Linked DNA regions of Mus musculus. The protein of the gene in region 2 binds, or shares a complex with, the protein of the main gene of each other region. Links are inferred from orthologs where the notes say so. Each region holds a gene or a part of one and is shown on either strand. Other genes may lie near its edges.

Region 1 (10,360 bases), on a different chromosome or scaffold from region 2:
GTTTATGACTTGCTTAGGGAAGCAAGATTATGTCTCTGTTTCAGTAACTGGACATGGGAGGTGACCTCAAGAGCTAGGTGAAGCAGCTGGTGTTGATGGGTGCAGTGCTTGGGGGCAGAGAAGGGCAGTTTTACAAGTTCCGAGGACAGCCTGGAGAACTCTTGACAAACATTTTCTCAGTTGTCAGGAAGCTGAATTTACTGCGCATTCATTGTGAACCAGCTTCTTCCCTGTTCTCTATTAGTTCACTTGCAAGCCTTTATTCATGAAAGAAAAACAGGGGAAGAAATGGGTTGTGTGGTAGCTCCACAGGTGTGTGTATGTTGAGAGCCACCACACAGCTTTCAGTTTCAGGGGAGCATCTGAAGAGTAGCCTGCCTTGAGTGAATGAATGGTCTCTTAAGGAGAAGTAGACAGCATTGAGAGTGATCCTCATTGTCTTCTGGAGTCTCTACTGTATGTCAGTTCCAAAGCTGGGAAACAAGGATTTATTTCCCATGCGCTGGTCTTAGGAAACCCCTCATGTTCATTTACTGTTGCTGCAAGTGTTTGCCCCTGTGCACTGGAGCTCACTGCTACATACTGACTGTGTTCAGGAGCCATACAGTGGGGGGTTTGCCTTATGAGGAAGCTCTTACGTCATTATGCATCCCTCCTCCCAGGGTCTCTCTAGATTGCTACACTGGCCTCTAGCTTGTGTTTAGTTGTGTCTGTGTGTCTGTGTGTGTTTTGGAGTCAAGGATCAAGCCTGAGGCTGTAAGCATGAGCTCTGTCTATGCCTTTTCTGTTCTGTTAATAACTGAGCCTTTTGCGTTGGTTTGCTGTAGTGACAAGTGTTCCGGTGGTGTTGAATTTGACCCGGCCCAGTACTTCCTGTGCTGTACACCGCCGGCCATTCTGCTCCCGTTTGAATTACTTTTACTGGCCTCCTCTTTTTTAATTATTTTACTTTATGTGTATAAATATTTTGCCTGCAGAACGGCTGTGTACCATGTGTCTGTTTGGTGCTTGTTGAGGCCAGAAGAGGGCATCAGACCCCTGGAACTAGAATCATGGTTGGATGTAAGCCACCATCTGGGTACTAGGAACTGACCCTGGATCCTTTATTAGAGCACCAGTGCTTTTAACCGCTGAGTCATTTCTTCAGCCCTATCACCCTCTGTTCTTATTGTGAACTTTACTGCCTAACTTATTTATTATGAGTAAAAAAGTAGACATCACAGGGCTGCAGAGATGGCTCAGCAGTCAGGACCGGTTTCTGCTCTTGCAGAAAACTTAGGTTTGGTTCCTAGCACCATATGGTAGTTACAGCCATCTCTAAGTACAGTTCCAGAGAATCTGATGCCTGCCTTTGTGCATTGTGCACTGCGTGCGCATGGTATATATAAAATCAAAACCACCCCTGTCCAGCGTAACTTGCCTTTTTTTTTTTAAAAGATTTATTTATTTATTTGATGTATATGAGTACGCTGTTGCTGTCTTCAGACACATCAGAAGAGGGCATCAGATCCCATTACAGATGTTTGTGAGCCACCATGTGGTTGCTGGGAATTGAACTCAGGACCTCTGGAAGAGCAGTGGTGCTCTTAACCACTGAGCCATCTCTCTAGCCCAGTAACTTGCCATTTTTAATGTCATGTTAAGGATTCGGGTCAACAGGTAGGGTTTTGTTTGTATCAAGAGAGAACAAACTTGACAAAGGCAAGTGTAAGCACTCCATAGGTAGTGGATGCTGAGTGCACTGACTGTTAATGAAGTTATGGTAAAACTCTGGTTTGTGTGTGTTTTCAGATAGGGTCTTGCTAGGTAGCCCTGGTTGACCTTAAATGGACTCAGTATGCAGTCCACGCTGGTCTCCCTCCTTCTACCTTGGCCTCCTGAGTGTTAGGATCATGTGTCTGGGTCACGTATCTGACTAAAATACAATTTTAATGTGTTTGATTTGTAGATATCTTATACCACCATGTAAACTTAATGTGATTTCAAACTGTCTTTATATCTAGATTGGATCCAGTGTGGACAATTAAATCAAACAGAAGGAGGCTTGTTTGTTTTTTTACATAGTTGGCTCACGGTGGCTCCTCAGGTGCCTTCAGGATGCCTGCGGCACTTGTAGAAAACAGTCAGGTCATCTGTGAGGTGTGGGCCAGCAATCTTGAGGAAGAGATGCGGAAGATCCGTGAGATTGTCCTCAGCTACAGCTATATCGCTATGGTGAGTAGGCCCTCCCCACCAAAGCCAGGGAAGGTTAGACTGATGGAAACCTAATTGCTTTTGTGAATCAAGGCAGCTAGTGTCTCTGAGGAGGGCATAGCTTCTGACACAAGTTTTTGTAATGTGTTCCTCTGATGGAAAGTCTTTTATATTTTTATTTTTGTTTATTTAGATAGGATCTGGATATGTAAGCCCTGGCTAGCCCAGCACTTGCTGGGTAGTCCAGGCAGGCCTTGTGCTTATCCTCCTGCTTCTGCCTTCTTGGTGCTGAGCTATGGTTGCCCCATTGTGCCCAGTATGTGTGGTGCTGGGAAGTGCTCTAGTGTCTGACCTACCTCAGCCCCTTTGGGTATATCTCCTCACACATGGGAATTTGAGCATGTGGTACTTATTAATTTTTTAAAATTTGGAGACAGGGTTTCATGTAACAGGCATATTTCAAGAGGACGACTTGACTTTCTGATCCTCCTGCCTCTATCTCCCAAGTGCTAGGAAGATAGGCATGTACCAACATGCCCAGCCTATGTTTTCAAAATATTCAAACATTTTATTGCTAGCACAAAAAAGGCAGGAGATGTCACATTGCAGATCTGGTGTCTCTGGGTAAAGTGGGAAGGACTGGTACTGTGTGGCTTATTTTCCTGCCCAATGGCGGGTTAGGTGGCACTCTTCTTAGGCCAGCCCCTGAGCACGCAGGTGCTCTGTTTTACTCCAGGCTTGGAGCTTGCCACTGTCTGTATTCAAACCCTGCTTTCACTCCTCTGTCCATAAGAGGCACTAGCCTTACAAGCTCTCCCAGCAGGTTAAGATCCTGTCATCCCAAACACTGGGGGTGAGGGTGTGGGGTCAGGAGTTCAAGATCAATGAGTATAGGCCAGTCTGAGCTTTACAAGGGTATAAAAGGGTTTTATGTACACACGGCAGTGAAATAGTCACTCAGGAAAGAGGAAGGCTGCATTTGTCCTTTATAAAAACATTAGACCAAGGTGGGAGCTCTGAACAGCAGGCCATGAGCCGGGCTTCTCTTTCAAGTATACGTCACACCAAGAAGCTGATGGGATGGAGCGAAGCCCCTGTGAGCCACCCCATCTACTTGGCTGTATTTGTATTTAACTCATATTGGAAGGTCCTATCTGAAGGCTAGAGAGATGGCTCAGCAGTCGAGGGCACTTGTTCTTCCTGAGGACCATGGTTCAATTCACAGCACCCATATGATAGCTCACAACTGTCTGTAACTCCACTTCCAGGGGATTTGACCCTCTCCTACAGACACACATGCCACCAGTGCACTTGAAGTAAATGAATAAGTGAAAAAAGACGTTCCTACCTGAGCGCAGCTCCCTCTAGTCACCCATTCACCTGTCTGGGTTCTGTTGTGTTCTAGACCTTGGGAGCTTATCTTGGGCTTCTGTAAACTGAAGAGCAATTTTGCTCATGGGTTGCTGAGCACCACTGTTTGCTGAGGCTTAATGGTAAGAGGCTTTTGTTCCTAGGACACAGAGTTCCCAGGTGTTGTTGTACGGCCGATCGGTGAATTTCGAAGCTCCATAGATTACCAGTATCAGCTTCTGCGGTGCAATGTTGATCTTCTTAAAATCATCCAGCTGGGCCTTACGTTCACCAATGAGAAGGGGGAGTACCCGTCTGGAATCAACACATGGCAGTTCAACTTCAAGTTCAACCTGACGTGAGTGTCTTGGGAGACCCTCAGTGTTACTAGACAGCTGAGTTTGAGTGGGCTGGTTGCTGTAAGCTTTACTAATCATGTGGTTTTTGGGATTGAGGTGGGAGGAGACATGGTTTCTCTCTATTATGTTGCTCTGAGTGTCCTGAAACTTGCTATCTTTTTTTTTTTTTTTTTTTTTTTTGGTTTTTCAAGACAGGGTGTAGTCCTGGCTGTCCTGGAACTCACTCTGGAGACCAGGCTGGCCAGAGACCAGGCGGTCTCAGAAATCTGCCTGCCTCTGCCTCCCAAGTGCTGGGATTAAAGGCGTGTGCGACCACGCCCAGCTCTTTTTTCTTTTTTTTAAAAGATTTATTTATCTTTTATGTATGTATGTGAGTACACTGTAGCTGTCTTAAGACACACCAGAAGAGGGCATCAAATCCCTGTACAGATGGTTTTGAGCCACCGTGTGGTTGCTGGGAGTTGAACTCAGGACCTCTGGAAGCAGTCGGTGCTTTTAACCGCTGAGCCAGCTCTCCAGCCCCCAGCCCAAGATTTTTAACTGTTTTTTTTTGTTTTGTTTTGTTTTTTTGTTTTTGAGACAGGATTTTTCTGTGTAGCCCTGGCTGTCCTGGAACTCACTTTGTAGACCAGGCTGGCCTTGAATTCAGAAATCCTCCTGCCTCTGTCTCCTGAGTGCTGGGATTAAAGGCATGCGCCACCACGCCTGACCTTAACTGTTATTTTGTGTATTAATGTTTTGCCTGCATGTATATCTGTCCATCATGTATGTGCCTGGTGTCCACAGCAGTTAGCAGATCCCTGGGACTGGTAGTACGGATGGTTGGGAGCTAAGCCTGGGTCTTCTGTCACGGCAGCAAGAACTCGTAGTGCTGAGCCTCATCTCCAGCCCTGCCTTTTGTTTGTTTTATAAATAAACTTCAGGGGCTGGAGAGATGGCTCAGTGGTTAAGAGCGCCGACTGCTCTTCCAAAGGTCCTGAGTTCAAATCCCAGCAACCACATGGTGGCTCGCAACCATCCGTAATAAGTAAACTTCAGGGTTAGTTCTGTCTCAAGTTTGTTTTGTTAAATTCTACTGTAAATAATATAAAGAAGTGTAAATATGATTAAAAATTAAAAAAACCAAAGGCCGCATAGATGATAGTTCAGTGGTTAAAAGCCCAGGTTGTTCTTCCAGAGCTCCTGAGTTCAGTTCCCAGCAGCCACGTGGGCACTCTCTGTCTGTGATGGGCCTGAATGCCCTCTTCTGGTGTGCAAATATACAGACAAACATCCATATACATAAATAAATAAATATTTAAAAAAGATGAAAAACAGCATAAAAAAAATGTGTGGCTCAATGGTTAGGACACCGGCTGCCCCTCCAAAAGATCTGAGCTCAATTCCCAGAGCTGGGCTCACAATTGTTTAACTCATTCATTTACATAAAACACAATTTTAAGCAAGAGAATATAGGTTTTCTGTAATTAGGAAATACAAATCTGCTGGTTTTTGGAGTGTTTCAGGAGTTCTGTGTTTCCGAATCATAAGCTAACCATAACATCTCTCCTGCTTTGGTCTCACTGCCGCCAGCTCATAGTGACACCTTGTTTTTCAGAGAGGATATGTACTCCCAGGATTCCATAGATCTGCTTGCAAACTCAGGGCTGCAGTTCCAGAAACACGAGGAGGAAGGGATCGATACACTGCACTTTGCAGAGCTGCTTATGACATCGGGAGTGGTTCTCTGTGACAACGTCAAGTGGCTTTCATTTCACAGGTCAGTCCACGGGAACTGTGGCCTGTCTCTTCAGCATAGCTTCGCCCTTCTGACTGTAGGCTGCACTGGGGAGGAACTAAATTCTTGTTGATTTGAGTCCTCCTGGCTTTTTGGAAGCAGCAGTGAGGTGGTGTTGGTGTTCCTGTGTAGTGTTTGGGAGCACGTGAACACGCACATGGGCTTTGCATCACTTGACCTGCAGTGCTGTAGTGGCTGTGCAGTGCTGTCTTCCAGGTGGATGGAGGCTGCTGTGGGCTCGGTTATTTTCAGCCTGGTGTGGCTTGTCCTTTGAAATGTCCTCAAATACAGATATTCTTTAAATACTTTTTGGAAGGTGTTTATTTTTAAAGGGTATGTGTGTGTGTGGTATGTATAGGTATGTGTGTGAGTACCTAGGGAGCCAAAAGAGGATGCTGGGCCATTGCAGGTAGACTTACAGGCATTTGTGAGCTGTCTGACCTGGGTGCTGGGATTGGAACTCTGATTCAAAATTTCTCTTTAGGTGACCCTTCTCCTGGGCTCTTACGGCTTTACTTTTGAGTTTTGATTAATCAAATTCACACAAACTCTCAGGTTCTTGTGTGTTTCTCATCGTAGCTTTCCTTATGTAAATTTCCTCACTGAATGTAAAGCTGAGATCATCAGTGCTCTTTGAGAGGCCCAGCCCCCAGCCTGAGGTGGTGGTTTAAGGCTGGACTGAGGCTGCTTTCAGACATCTGCTTTATTCCTCCTTTAGTGGTTATGATTTTGGCTACATGGTAAAGCTGCTAACAGACTCTCGCCTGCCGGAAGAAGAACACGAGTTCTTTCATATCCTGAATCTTTTCTTCCCGTCCATTTACGATGTGAAATACCTGATGAAGAGCTGCAAAAACCTGAAGGTAACAGACGGCGTTTTCCTAATGCAGGCAATGAACGAGCAGACTCCCACACTCAGGCTTGTTTTGCATTAATAATGCATTCACTATGCTTTTTCTTGAGGCCTGCCAGGTGCCAGACTTATCTAAGGAGGATGTTAATCGAGCTTGCTCTCTCTTTAGCTGTCTTTGTTGGTGACTCTGGCACCAGAAAAGCCCTATTTCTTGCATCCTGAGGCTGCCTTCCTCTGAGGTTTGAGAACCTGACAGAGTAGTTGGTGACATGAGGCCATGTGCAGTATGTTGTGACTGTTCCACATTAAAAATCCCTCTGAGGGATTTTTAATTTTTTTCATTAATTTTTTAATTGGATATCTTATTTATTTACGTTTCAAATGTTATCCCCTTTCTTTCTTTCTTTCTTTTTTTTTTTTTTTCGAGACAGTGTTTCTCTGTATAGCCCTGGCTGTCCTGGAACTCACTCTGTAGACCAGGCTGTCCTCGAACTCAGAAATCCGCCTGCCTCTGCCTCCCGAGTGCTGGGTTAAAGGCGTGCGCCACCATGCCCAGCGTTATCCCTTTTTTTGATCTTCCCTTCTCCCCTGCAGAAACCCCCTATCCCATCCTCCTTCCTCTTGCTTCTATGAGGGTGTTAACCCCCACCCCCCCACACTCCTGCCTCCTGCCTCCCTGCCCTCAATTCCCATACACTGGGGTGTCTATCAAACCTTCATAGGACCAATGGCCTCTCCTCCCATTGATGCCTGACAAGTCCATCCTTGGCTACATATGTGGCTGGAGCCGTGTGTCCCTATATGTATACTCCTTGGTTGGTGGTTTAGTCCCTGGGAGCTCTGGTTGGTTGATACTATTGTGAGATTTTTAATTCTAAAAAGTTCAAGTTGTCCTGTGAGGTGGCTCAGTGGGTAAAGATGTGGGCTGCTAACCTTAATGGACCCGAGTTTGATCTGCGACATGATAGAGCTGACTCGTGAAGGTTGTCTCTCTTCTCTGCATGCACACAGAGCATGCAGCAGGGTACTGTTTGGGAAGAATAAGAGTGAAGGTCTGAAAAATGGCTACTGAAGCCTGTTAGATGAATGGCCTGTCCCACTGCTAAACGTTCATGAGTACACTTAGCTGAGTCCAGGAGAATAGTGTTGGTATGTGACACCCTTGTTTTCTGTCCCTTAGGGAGGCCTTCAGGAGGTGGCTGATCAGTTGGATCTGCAGAGGATCGGAAGGCAGCATCAAGCAGGCTCAGACTCTCTGCTGACGGGGATGGCTTTCTTCAGGATGAAAGAGGTAATGGCGCAGTGTGAGGCCCCTGAGTGTGAGGGTCTCTGAGATGACAGCTTCCAGGTGTGGGGTCTCTTGAGTGTGTGAGGCCTGAGTTTTCTTCTGCTTTCTACAGTAGGAATGTTATTTGTTAGTCTATCTACAGAGGCTGAGTTCTGTTAATTACTGGATATTATTTCTCTAAGGAAAAGTGAATTCTCTTTTAGGTTTCTGTTTTGTTTTGCTTTTTTAAAGATTTATCTTATATATGTATACACTGTCTTCAGACACACCAGAAAAGGGCCTCAGATCCTATTACAGATGGTTGTGAGCCACCTTGTGGTTGCTGGGATTTGAACTCAGCACCTCTGGAAGGAATAGTCAGTGCTCTTAACTACTGAGCCATCTCTCCAGCTCTTCTTTTAGCTTATTTATGTACTCCATTAAGTTTTAATATATATCTGAAGAGGAAAACACTTTGAAAAATTATAGTGAAAGCTGGGTAGTGGTGGTGTACAACTTTGAGCCCAGTACTTGGAAGGCAGAGGCAGGCCGATCTCTGAGTTCAAGGCCAGCCTGGTCTACAGATCAAATTCCAGGATGGGGGGGGGGGAGGAAAAATTACTATTGTTGATATTTTTCTTTTAGTTTTATTTAATTATTTAGTTGTTTGCTTATTTATGTATATTTTTTTCAGAGGTAGTTTCTCTGTGTAGCCCAGGCTAGCCTTAAACTCAAAGCTCCACCTGTCTGCCTCTGGAGTGTTGAGATCAAAGCATGAGCTACCACTGTTGGAAGGTTTGTTGATATATATAAAAATAAAAATTTTGGGTTTTTTTTGAGACAGGGTTTCTCTGTGCAGCCCTGGCTGTCCTGGAACTCACTGTGTAGATGGGGCTGGCCTCGAACTCAGAAATTCCCCTGCCTCTGCCTCCCAGGTACTGGGATTAAAGGTGTGCACCACTACACCCAGCTGATAATTTTAAGGAATGGATGTTGATAAAAAGGAGTGAGACATGGTATGGGTCTAATTTTAGAATGGAGAAAATGGCACTTGATATTTTTAGACAGGGTCTCACTGTGTAGCCGTGGCTAGCTTTAAACTCAGTCTGGAGATCTGCCTGCTCTCCTGCTCAGCCTCTTGAGTACAGAATTAAAGGTTTGTGCTTGTCCTTGAATCCATGGCTCTCTCCTTGCCTTAGCCTCAGGGTTGGGATTATAGCTGTGAACTGCACTGCCTGGCTGTTATTTCCAGTGTTTAATTAACTAGTTTTCTGTGGCTGTAACAATATGTGAGGCCAGGTTCAAAGGACCAGTTTATTTAGGTTTCTGACTTGAGACAGCTTAGCCAGGGGTTGGCTGGCTGTTATGGCACGTGAAAGCATAGTGTCTGTTCATTCTTTAGTGGTTTGGAAACAGGAAGAGGCTGAGTTGTGGCCCCAACCTCAAGGTTTTACCATGTTTCAGTAAACCTACCAGTTGGTGCTAAGCCTTTAACACATGGACTTCTAGGGACATTTTAGATCTAAAGAGTAACCAGTGTATTAGGCTGGTCCTTGCCAACCTGCTCCTTTGTTGATGGCTTGGAGATGTTTGTTATACTTAACAGAGGTGGCACTTGTGGCCAGGGCTGTGCTCAGCATCTTGTGATTGCACTGGACAGCTCCTGCCCAGATAGTAAGGTTGAGTTGCTTGCTGAGTGCTTGGTCCCCTCCTGCCTCAGCTTCTCGGGTGCTGGATTATGTGTGTGCCAGCACACCTGGCTTTCAGGACTTCATGACTGAGGAACCATGATGGAATGGAGCTGAAGTGACTTGGCAAGCCTGAGTCCTTAGTCACTCACTCCCTTGCTTGGCAGGGTGGTGACTCCACACAGCAGCAGCCCAAGGCTTCAGCACTGACAAGTCATAAGAATGCCAAGTCTGTTTAGGATGCAGAGCCGGGATGTGTACAATGGAGCAGAAAACGTCTGAGGGGATGTTTGGTATCTTTGTTGAGTTACTGTCCAGTGTGCTGTGTCAGGGCATGAGAAGCTGGGAGCTGGCATGACTCCTGGCTCCATTCTCAGATGGTTTTGTCCTGTTCTGCAGCTATTCTTTGAGGACAGTATTGACGATGCCAAGTATTGTGGGCGCCTCTATGGCCTGGGCACAGGGGTGGCCCAGAAGCAGAATGAGGATGTGGACTGTGCCCAGGAGAAGATGAGCATCTTGGCCATGATCAACAACATGCAGCAGTGATGGTGCGTGCACCGTGCGGTCCGTGCACCATGCCGCCTGTGACCTGCATCTGCTCCAAGCAGAGACTTTGGCTTTTTGTTTAAAGATGCCTTTATTTTAGATCCAGGAGGGGTTTGCTCTGAATTTGTAAACAAGTCTTCCTCGTCCTCATGCCCCCACCCCTCTGCTGCCTCCTGCCACCAGCATCCATGGCCCCATGGACACTTTTTTAAATCTCCAGGATGTCTGAAACAAACCAGTAAAATGTCTATGACTCTTACATGTTGTCATTCTTCTTCTTTTGGCTTTGCTGCTCTGATGAAGTTGCTCAGATGAGCTGTGGCT
Region 2 (10,360 bases):
ATGATAAAGTTTCTTTGTAGAATCTTCATTAATAATCCTTGTTGACATTCTTAATTATCTGGTCTTCTTTTGAATGCAGTTCCTTTTTATTGTTTTGCTTCGGTTTATACAAAAGAAAAAGGGGGGTTGTTTATAATTATTTGCAGAAACCAAGTTATGCATTAATTCAAAATTGAGAGTACTATGTGGAACTTTTTTTCTGTTTAGTAGATGAAAACTAAGCTCTATTTAAGATATGAATGATGAGTTTTAAAACATTAAATTCAGTTTTTTTAAAAGTAACCGGTCAGTTTAATTCAGGTCAAGTCAACATTTATTGATTACCTTGTAAATCTAAACACCAGGGGGCAGAGAATGAATAAGACATAGACTCCCAGGAAAGAATAGTTGGAAAAGACAGGTTGCAAAGAGAAGACTTGCACTGAAAAGCAAGCTTTATAAGTCAGGAACAAAAGCAAGTGTTGAGAGGGGTAATCTTTACCTACTGTATACTGTTGAAGTAGATGCATTTATCCAGAAAGCTAGCACACCAGCACACATTAAATGATACTCTTCATCTCCGTTCTTCACCACTCATAACTAAGTTTCTTTTTCGGTTTTTAAAATTAATTTGTTTAAATTGTTTGATTCTTTCTTGTTCATTGAAGAATTTTAGAGAAATTTTTAAATTAAAATATTGTAGTCTCAAATTAGCATTGGTTTTGAAACATATTATTGTTTTATATGAGGAGACCCAAAATATATACTTTTATTTTTCTACATCTCAAAGTTAGTGTTCTTACTGTATATCTAAAATTATTTTCTATGTACCCAGTATGTCTGGATTTGGAATGAACAGGAATCAGGCATTTGGAATGAATAACTCCTTATCAAGTAACATTTTTAATGGAACAGGTAAGCTTACTCTGGAGCTAGTGCCCTAATGAAAGTACAGTAGAATTCTGCACTGCAAGCAAATCAGCACCCTGCTCTCTGGATGGTAGCAGGATTTTACTCTTTTACATAGAATTTAGTTTAGTGGGAAACTGTCAGTGGTAGGATTTAATTAAACAGCAGAGAGTCGTTTAAATGTCCCCCTAACTTGGCCTTGCAACATAGTATTTTGCATTGTAACATCAGAATTATTTCTAACATCTAAAGAGAGTAAATACTAATTTGGACTATATTTGTGTCTCAGAATCTTGGTGTTTTTCTTTAAAATGTTTCCTGTCCTTTGCCCTGTCACTGAGGAAGAGTAGTATATCCTAGGTTGGGTGGTAGGACACTCTGGTTTTAGATACTCAGACTGAAGAGAAGAATCGAAATCGTAGGAAGCACTCAGCAGTTTTAAAAATCACTTAATGAAAAGTTTCACATTTAATCCTTAAGAATTTTGACCCAGTATTATCTATAAGATTGAGCTACCTGGAAAGTAACTTGATTTTTGACAAAAACTAAAGTCTACTGGTTTCTTAAACAGGGAGTGGTAGGTATTGCTGGTTAGCCGTGCCTCTCAGTGCTTTGGTGGTGAGAAAATAAGGGATGTTGCCATGATTAGTGCATCAGTAGGACCAGTATTAGTGTTACTGGGCGCTCTGTATGTGAGGTGGTGGTGAGAGGAGAGGTGTGAGGTATAGTATGCATATGCTGCAGAAGACCTAAAAGGGAGCCCTTTTTTACCTATAGGTTTTTAGCTTCTGGGCATTCTGATGGTTTGTTGAATAACTTAAGTGGACCAGCCAAGATTAAAGCCATTGAAAGAAATGGAAGACTTTAAGCATTTAAATTGTATATCCATTTCTTTCAATGGAAGATTTTTAAGCATTTAAATATTATAGTTTTCTGGGTGTGACTTTAAAACCTATCAACTTTGTAATTCTTAAAACAAAGTTATATACTTCATTGACTTTAAAGAGTTCACTTTTTCATACCTAGCATGTGAAGTCTGGCTACCTTTCACATTTCCACTGAATAATGTTTTTAATATGCTACTATAAAGTTTCAGAAATTTAAAATTCTTAGATTTTATACTGAGAAAATTATAAATTGTTGGTTAAAATATATTCTAACCTAATACATGACAATTTTAAATTAGTCATGGAAATATCTAAGAACATGTATTAAAAGTTAATTTTTACTTGGAGAAGTTTATAATTAATCATAATTTGAGAGATACTAACTTATAAATTAAAACAGTAAATATGATTTTAATTTCTTATACTTTACCGATACTGTATTTTTAGTGGAAATTTAAAGAAAAATTTGTGAGAAATGGTTTATCTTTACCTTTATACTTATAGTTTTAAATGATCACCTTTCCTGGTGTATTCATACAGTCCTTTTGTCTTAATAAATGAAGTTACTCAGAGGATAGTAATTATACTATTGGGAAAATTTTCAGAAAAGTCAAAGTTAATTGAAAAACGGCCTCAAAACTATACATGCTTATAAAACGAGGCAAAATATAAAGAAAATGATTTCATACTGCTAAATTATAGGTAGGAAATTAAGTAGTTCAAAATTAGAATACAGGTTAAGAACAGGAAAGGTTGAGGGAAAAATAATTTAAAAAAATAGCCAGAATAAAGAAGTGGGGTTAACTGTTTATGTCTAATGGTAGCGGTATAATTTAAAACAAAACAAAAAGATCTTTATTCAGTATATTTATTGAGCGCCTACTGTGTAACAGGCAGTATAAACTTCTGGGGTTGATGATTGCTCTATTCCCCACCTACTCCTGACACATAAGAGGAGTCCATCCTTGCGTGGAGCTCACAAACACATGCACATGTACACATTTTTGTCTCATTTTAAAGTATCCTGGGCAGAAGTCCTCAGGGCTTCTCTATTTGCCGTTTGCCTCAAAGTCTTTGTGGACATTTGTAAGAGGTAGTGTCATCGTCATATCTTTATAGTTGAAGTTCCAAGTAATGTAGATCTTGCCCTGTCCAGTGTTAATGAAGAGCTCAACAGTGCAGCTCCTGCTCCTCACAGGCTCTGTGTTTCATTGCCATCTTCCATCAAGGGCAAAAAATGCCCAGCCCTCTCCTTTATGTCTCCACCTCCAGACCTGGGTAGTTTGAGACACTGGCAGCATGCTGCTTTCCTCAGTTATTAGGGAATGAATCCCATGAGGCAAAACCAGTCCACAGAGTCCACAGCATGCACGCCCACTGTCGTGTACCTACCACACCACTCTACCTACCACACCACAGCACGCACGCCCACTGTCGTGTACCTACCACACCACTCTACCTACCACACCACAGCACGCACGCCCACTGTCGTGTACCTACCACACCACTCTACCTACCACACCACAGCATGCACGCCCACTGTCGTGTACCTACCACACCACTCTACCTACCACACCACAGCATGCACGCCCACTGTCATGTACCTACCACACCACTCTACCTACCACACCACAGCATGCACGCCCACTGTCGTGTACCTACCACACCACTCTACCTACCACACCACAGCATGCACGCCCACTGTCATGTACCTACCACACCACTCTGCACTAGGAAGGAAGAAGACGCTGTTGTTTCACATGAGATGCTTGGCTTTTATAATCTCGTTGTAAATGTTTGTGGAGTCAGTAACGAGCATTATCTCTTATCATTTAGATGGCAGTGAAAATGTGACAGGATTGGACCTTTCAGATTTCCCAGCGTTAGCTGACCGGAATAGAAGGGAAGGGAGCGGCAACCCAACTCCATTAATAAACCCCTTGGCTGGAAGAGCTCCTTACGGTAATGCATGTTCTTAGTTCTTTATTTACCAAATAAAGGCTACAGTCATGTGTACTACACACGTATGTGTCTGTATGTGCATGCTTGTAGGTATTTATGTTGTCAGACCAGGTTAACATTATTTTGTCAGAATTCATAATTTGAAAATTGATTTTTTTTCTTTCTATGTATCCACCATAGCAAAGTTGAGTGGTAAACTTTAGTACAGAAATCTAAATACTTGATTTCATTGCTATTCAGAAGTTATTTCTTCCGTTCCGCATGCTTTAGTTTAATATATGTGATTAATTTTGTGGCTTAGCTTTTGTTAGTTGGCCCTACCTTTAAGAGAATATGTCCCTGGTAATTAATAATAACTGCATTGAGGTATGTCTCTCTTAAGTGAAGATTTCTCTAAATTCACACTGGGGCTGGAAAGTTCATTTCAGAAGTCTGCGGGTGCTTATTTAGGTAGAACATTTAGCAACACTTTGAACTTTTGGCTTCTGTGTACCAGCATAGGCTCTTCTCCCATCCGTGTGATGTGGCACACGTTTCTGCAAACTGGCAAACGCCCTCTTGCCAAGCCTGTGAGAACCAATGCTTACGGTTTTGTATTTTTACAGATTCTTGGCTATGATTACTATACCCAGTCACTCTTTTTACAGTCTCTATAAGTTAAGAGATTTGGAGTAGAGCCTGAATATCAATGTTAAGAAAACCATATGCAGTGACAGAATAGCAGCTGAGACAAAAACTTTTGTGATATCAGCATAGCCAAACTCTTGTTTCTTGTGGGTGAGATCTCATATAGACTGGTATCAAGGCAATAATTAGATGGGTTTATTCATCATTTATTTTAAAATAGAGCTAATATTTTCTCCATAATCAAGGGTTTCAAGTTCTGAACTTCTGGATATGAGTAAAAATAATGTGTAGAGGAAAAACTTTATTGATCATATCTTAAACCTTTCAAATCTGTTTTCCCAAAATAAGAGAATGTGCCGTGCCCTGAAGTTGCGTGCCTAGCTGCTTGCCTCTCAGTTCAGATGCTAATGTTGTTAACCTTTCCCCATAGGTCCTTTCTTTCATCCCTTTAAACTTTCCCGTTGCTCTCCTTGGACCATCTCTAGTTTCTCCATTTCCTTCTTGAATTGTGGAGCCCCAAACTGGATTTTGTTCTCCAATAAGGGCCCGACTAATGACAAGTATAGTGGGAAGAGTATTTCTCAGTCCTTGCATGTTTTACATCTGTAACATGGAGTCCAAGAACATGAGAAATAAAGTGGAATTGTTTTATAATTGGTTGCAATTTGCTCACTCTGTAAGTCACTTTTAAGTAGAATACTGACATGTTCTTTTACATTTTATTATATTCATTTTCATTTGACAGCTAACTGGTGTTTATGGCATCTAGTCAGATATTTAAAGCTAGCCTGTAAGCCGGCATTTTGAATATTATTACCAATATCAAATACTATTTTAAGCACCTATATAACATTAGATTGGAATTTCAGGATTACCACTTGTTTTTCTTGTATTGCTTTATATGTTGCTTCTTGTCAGCAGTAAATCAAAATTTCATTCTTTATCGTTATCCTGAATATTAATTTTTGAGTTGCCAGTTCACATGCTTTTTTAAAAAAGCTTTTGGTATATTGTGATGAGCAAAGTTAGTTTCTTATATAGTTTATAAGACAGTATCATAGATTCAATTGCATTTTCTGGATTCTTTTCATTACATAGTTGGAATGGTAACAAAACCTGCAAATGAGCAATCCCAAGACTTCTCAATACACAACGAAGATTTTCCAGCATTACCTGGTTCCAGCTATAAAGATCCAACGTCAAGTAATGACGACAGCAAATCTGTAAGTAGCTGAGCACCTTGTGTGTGAGTGGTGTAGTTTTCTCCCTTTAGAATTGCCTGACACTAATAGTTACTGACTAGACGCTGCTGCACAACTGTTTGAGCACTGTAATCATCTAACTTGAAGACTGTAGAAAGCTTTATAACTTAGAAGGTAGCATTTTTTTCCTATTTCATGTAGGTTTGCAAATTTCTGTTGAACTTGTGAGTTAATTTAGACTTTTATTGTAGTCCCTGTCAGCTGGACCCCATGACGTTTGGTTATATAGACTTCTAAGGAGCTCTCTTTTTCTTGAGTAAGTTTTCTCCTTGAAGAATCTCTATGCACATTTTAATACCTGTGTTGATTCAGCGACCTCAGCTTCTGATTTAAAGTGTGTTTATTCCTTCCAACATTCATGGCAGAGAGCTGGTTTTTTTGTTTGTTTTTTGTTTTTTGTTTTTCTGTATGTTTGATGGGTAAGGATGGAAATAAGTATAAGTTTTGCAAGGTCATATATTCCTAGTTTACCTTTGAGGTTTCTTTGGTAATATTTTTAGTACTGTAATATGTAATTACTCTTTTTATATAGAAGTGTGCATCAACAAAGCATAAAACCCCAAGAAAGACAGATATTTTTCATATTTTACCCCCTGTGATCTATGACAGATTTAAAAAAAACAAAAAAGAAAAGGCTAATTTTTTCAAGGTTTCTTGCCTCATTTGTAGACACAGAATTTATTTGTATTTCGTGAGGCAGTTATGGGGAGACAATTTTCAAGTAGAAAACAGATAATTACTACTAATTTAGATATAATAGTGGATGGCTAGCAAGGGGTTGATGAATTTAAACTTAGATATTTAGCACATCTAATGTCATGCTTTTTTTTTTTTTTCGTGCTAGAATTTGAGTACATCGGGGAAGACGACTTCAAGTACAGATGGACCCAAATTCCCTGGAGATAAAAGTTCAACAACACAAAACAATAATCAACAGAAAAAGGGGATCCAGGTGTTACCTGATGGTGGGACTCCATAAATATGTCAGAGATATTTGAAAGTACAGTTTTCTCTACTTTCCTTAATATAAAGTAAAAATAACTGTGTTTTTCTTAACCAGGTCGAGTTACTAACATTCCTCAAGGGATGGTGACGGACCAATTTGGAATGATTGGCCTGTTAACATTTATCAGGGCAGCAGAGACAGACCCAGGAATGGTACATCTTGCTTTAGGAAGTGACTTAACAACATTAGGCCTCAATCTGAACTCACCTGAGTAAGTTTTTCCCTCCATGTTTGTACATATCTTCTAGTCTGTAATAGATTCTCATACTGTTACCTTTTTCTTTTGAAGACAGAGTAACCCAGGCAGGCATTATAGGTGTTATCCTGTATCCTGTGCCACCACAGAGAGCCTCAGACTTGTAGCTAATCTCATCAGCAGCCTGCATACTCCTGGGCTGTTCTTTCTAGCTAGCCCATAGATCACTGAGAAATACCAAGGATCCATCTACAAGGCATTTGGGTTAGTCCCCAAGCCACATCTTTATCCAGCCCATTGATCTTGTCATTATTCGGAACTAAGTTTACCTTGTTGCTTGCTTTTTAACTATCACTGTTTCCCATGCCTCTCTTGTGGCTGTGACTTCTATATCATTTGATTCTATTGCGACTTCTCATTCTCTAGCTCTCTGTCTTCCTCGGTGTTCTTGTCTCCTCCTCTTTGATGAGCTCACATCCTTCTCACCATTAAATTTTATGATGAATCATAATTGCTCACTTAGGCAAGCTTGACTGTCTGCCCTTCTCACTTCTCATCTTAAAAGTCTGTACCCATTGTTGTATCTGTTTGTTTGATTCTTGACCATCTTCTGGTTGGACTACAGAAAAGTGTAATTTCACTGTCTGGTCCTGCTGCACACTGATGCTCAAGAACTTAAACTTGAGTCCAAAATTTTGCAGGCATACTTCTTTTGTTTTGTTTTTTTTGTTTGTTTGCTTTTTTTTTTGTTTGTTTTTTGTTTTTGGTTTGGTTTGGTTTGGTTTGGTTTTTTTGTTTGTTTGTTTTTTTCGAGACAGGGTTTCTCTGTATAGCCCTGGCTATCCTGGAACTCACTTTGTAGACCAGGCTGGCCTCGAACTCAGAAATCCTCCTTCCTCTGCCTCCCCAGTGCTGGGATTCAAGGCGTGCGCCGCCACCGCCCTGAGCAGCCATATTTCTACCTGATGACATAATCCTTTCAGAACCTTTTGTTTGCTTTTGGATGTGTTTGGGTTGGTTGGTTGGTTGGTTGGTTTGCTGCTGTTATCCTATGTGACTGTTTTGAATTTCATCAAGCCAGGAATAGCATTTCCTCCTGTCCGTAGCTCTCATAATGACCTGGCTTCTATTTCTACTTTACAAAGACAGGTGTAAGCAGATAGAAGAGGACATTAACCTGGTCCTGCCTCCAAATCTAATGACCTGCCACCAATCTAAATCTGACATGACCTTGCCAAAATCTTTGGTCCATGCTTCCTACTAAAACTTCATCAAAACTCATGAGTGGGAGTCTTAATTTTTTCTCCTTTTCCTGGTGCTGGCATCCAAACCAGTGTTGGACACAGTAAGCAAGTGCTGTGCCCCCGAGCTACACCCTCAGCCCGCTTCCCCCCAGGACTTTGGAAATGGTCTTGGCTGGTGTAGTGTAGTCCAAGGTGGCTCCTTAAAGCACTCCTGCTTCTGTGTGAGTGATGATGTTATAGCCACATACATGCCATGATTTCCTTCCAACTTACAGCATTTCTCTTTTCACATTTCTAGTGCCAAATACAGAGAAACTTATTTTTCTATTTGTATTGAAATTACATTATCTTGATCAACCTCTTTTGAGTTATCCTCATTCTTAATTCTTTTTTTTTTTTTGGAAGCAAACCGTCTCAAATGAGTCATCCTCATTTTTCTAACCTGTCTTCTTTCACTCTACTGAATCCACTGTTGCGAGGAATCCGTTCCTGTGATTCCAGTAAGCGCTCTGCAGCATCCCCACTTTCTCTTGGTGCTCCTTCCTCACTTGACTTTGAAGATACCATTCTTACCTGGTAACGTTGGCTCATCCCTCAGTTTCCCTTGCTCATATCACCTTTGGATTGTCTTCTTGATGATCTTATCTAGACTTGTGCTTTTAAGGACCACATAGATTGAAAATTCCAAACACCTACTTCCATGGCAGACTTTTTTTCTTGAACTTGAGATTTTAGATGCCGTTATTAGCTAAATATCTCTTTTAAGATTTGGGTTAAACCTACACCATGGCTATGCTTTTTTGATCTCCATTAATACTTCCAGAAACGACATCATCCTTAGTCTCTCCTTTTCTCTCAGATGCAGTCCTTTCAAGTAGATACAGAATCCAATCATAGTCTCATTAAGTTGCTACCACCCTGGTTTGTTGCCTGAATATTCTGCCAGCATATCACAGCAGGGATTCTTGGTTTGCTCTTTTTGTATGGTTTTGTGTAGCACTCAAGATAATTCTTTCTGTGCTCAGCCCCAAGTACAGATTTGTTGCTCTGATTTAAACCTCCCTGAGTGGCAGCCCTGCAACGCTCACATCATCCTGCCTTTCTTCTGACTCCACCTTGGAAGTGTTTCCCTGCCTTCCTCTGCCTCTCATGTCACGCTGTCTCTGCCTCAGTTGTTCTAATATTCCCCTTGGCTAGTACAGTGTTCTACTAGCTATTGACCTGTGATTATCGCTCTTATATCCTTGAATATTTGTTTACATCTAAGCTTGTCAAATCGGACTTAAACTGATCACCCTATTTAATTATATAACCAGTATTATTCATTTGTTATGCTAATTATCTGCCAGTGTCCAGTTAGCCATACACTTTTACAGAAAGTAAGTTTTCCAATATCAGCAGTCTTCGTTTTTATCACTTAACTTATTCAGAACATAGAATAGGCACTCACAATACGTGTTCAGTGATACGAAATCTGGCTCCTCCTCATTTCGGCTTTGAGTGAGGTGGACATGGAAAGTACTATAATTGGAGAGTAGTGTAGAAATGAACTTAGAGCATTGTTAGTTACCGCTAATTTAAAGTAGACAATTTCCATTTTGTACCTAAGTATATTCTGACTTGCTGTGCTTTACACTCTGTTGGTGAGCACTAGAGGAAGCGAAGCGCTCTTGGGTTACTTTTCTGCTATAAAGTTGCAGTAAATTCAAGAAAGGGAACCAAGAAGGATGCTTATTTTTTTATTTGAATTCTTTTTTTCCCATTTTCCTGAAATTAAGTTAGAAATACAGTTTTCTACTTTGTTCTTTAAAGTGGCTTCTTTTTTACTTGTTCAGAAATCTCTATCCCAAATTTGCATCACCCTGGGCTTCTTCACCTTGTCGGCCTCAAGACATAGGTAGGAGAATCTATTTGTGCTCAAAATTGTTTAAAAGGTATTTCCTAAGTATCAGTTAGTAACACCTTTGTTTGTTTTATTATGCAGACTTCCATGTTCCATCAGAATATTTAACAAACATTCACATTAGGGATAAGGTGAGTGAGTAGACCTTTCTATTCTCAGGCGTCGATTTTAGCTATTATCTTGGTACCACTTCCAGTTCAGACGGCATGCTAATCCACTAGCAGTCTTAGGCGTATGTGTCTGTATACCATTCACATAACAATTTTATTTCTGTTTTTATTAATATTTTTATTAATATGCTGTAGGTCTTTTTTAAATCAATGTTAGGAATGATAAAATATTTCTTGTAATTAATAATTGTAACCATAGTGAATGGAAATACATT

The links.
Region 1: Cnot2 (region 2) and Cnot8 share a complex: the UniProt entries of both Homo sapiens proteins name them as parts of the CCR4-NOT complex. The link is inferred for Mus musculus from reciprocal best matches to the Homo sapiens genes CNOT2 and CNOT8.

The regions. Positions count from the first base shown.
Region 1 is NC_000077.6:58,107,553-58,117,912, forward strand, and holds part of Cnot8 (CCR4-NOT transcription complex subunit 8), read left to right. Parts: intron 1-2,003; 5' UTR 2,004-2,097; coding exon 2,098-2,214; intron 2,215-3,707; coding exon 3,708-3,901; intron 3,902-5,499; coding exon 5,500-5,661; intron 5,662-6,397; coding exon 6,398-6,542; intron 6,543-7,712; coding exon 7,713-7,823; intron 7,824-9,886; coding exon 9,887-10,036; 3' UTR 10,037-10,360. UniProt on the Homo sapiens protein: Has 3'-5' poly(A) exoribonuclease activity for synthetic poly(A) RNA substrate. Its function seems to be partially redundant with that of CNOT7.
Region 2 is NC_000076.6:116,494,569-116,504,928, reverse strand, and holds part of Cnot2 (CCR4-NOT transcription complex subunit 2), read left to right. Parts: intron 1-814; coding exon 815-894; intron 895-3,611; coding exon 3,612-3,737; intron 3,738-5,462; coding exon 5,463-5,587; intron 5,588-6,470; coding exon 6,471-6,591; intron 6,592-6,686; coding exon 6,687-6,843; intron 6,844-9,907; coding exon 9,908-9,969; intron 9,970-10,056; coding exon 10,057-10,106; intron 10,107-10,360. UniProt on the Homo sapiens protein: Component of the CCR4-NOT complex which is one of the major cellular mRNA deadenylases and is linked to various cellular processes including bulk mRNA degradation, miRNA-mediated repression, translational repression during translational initiation and general transcription regulation.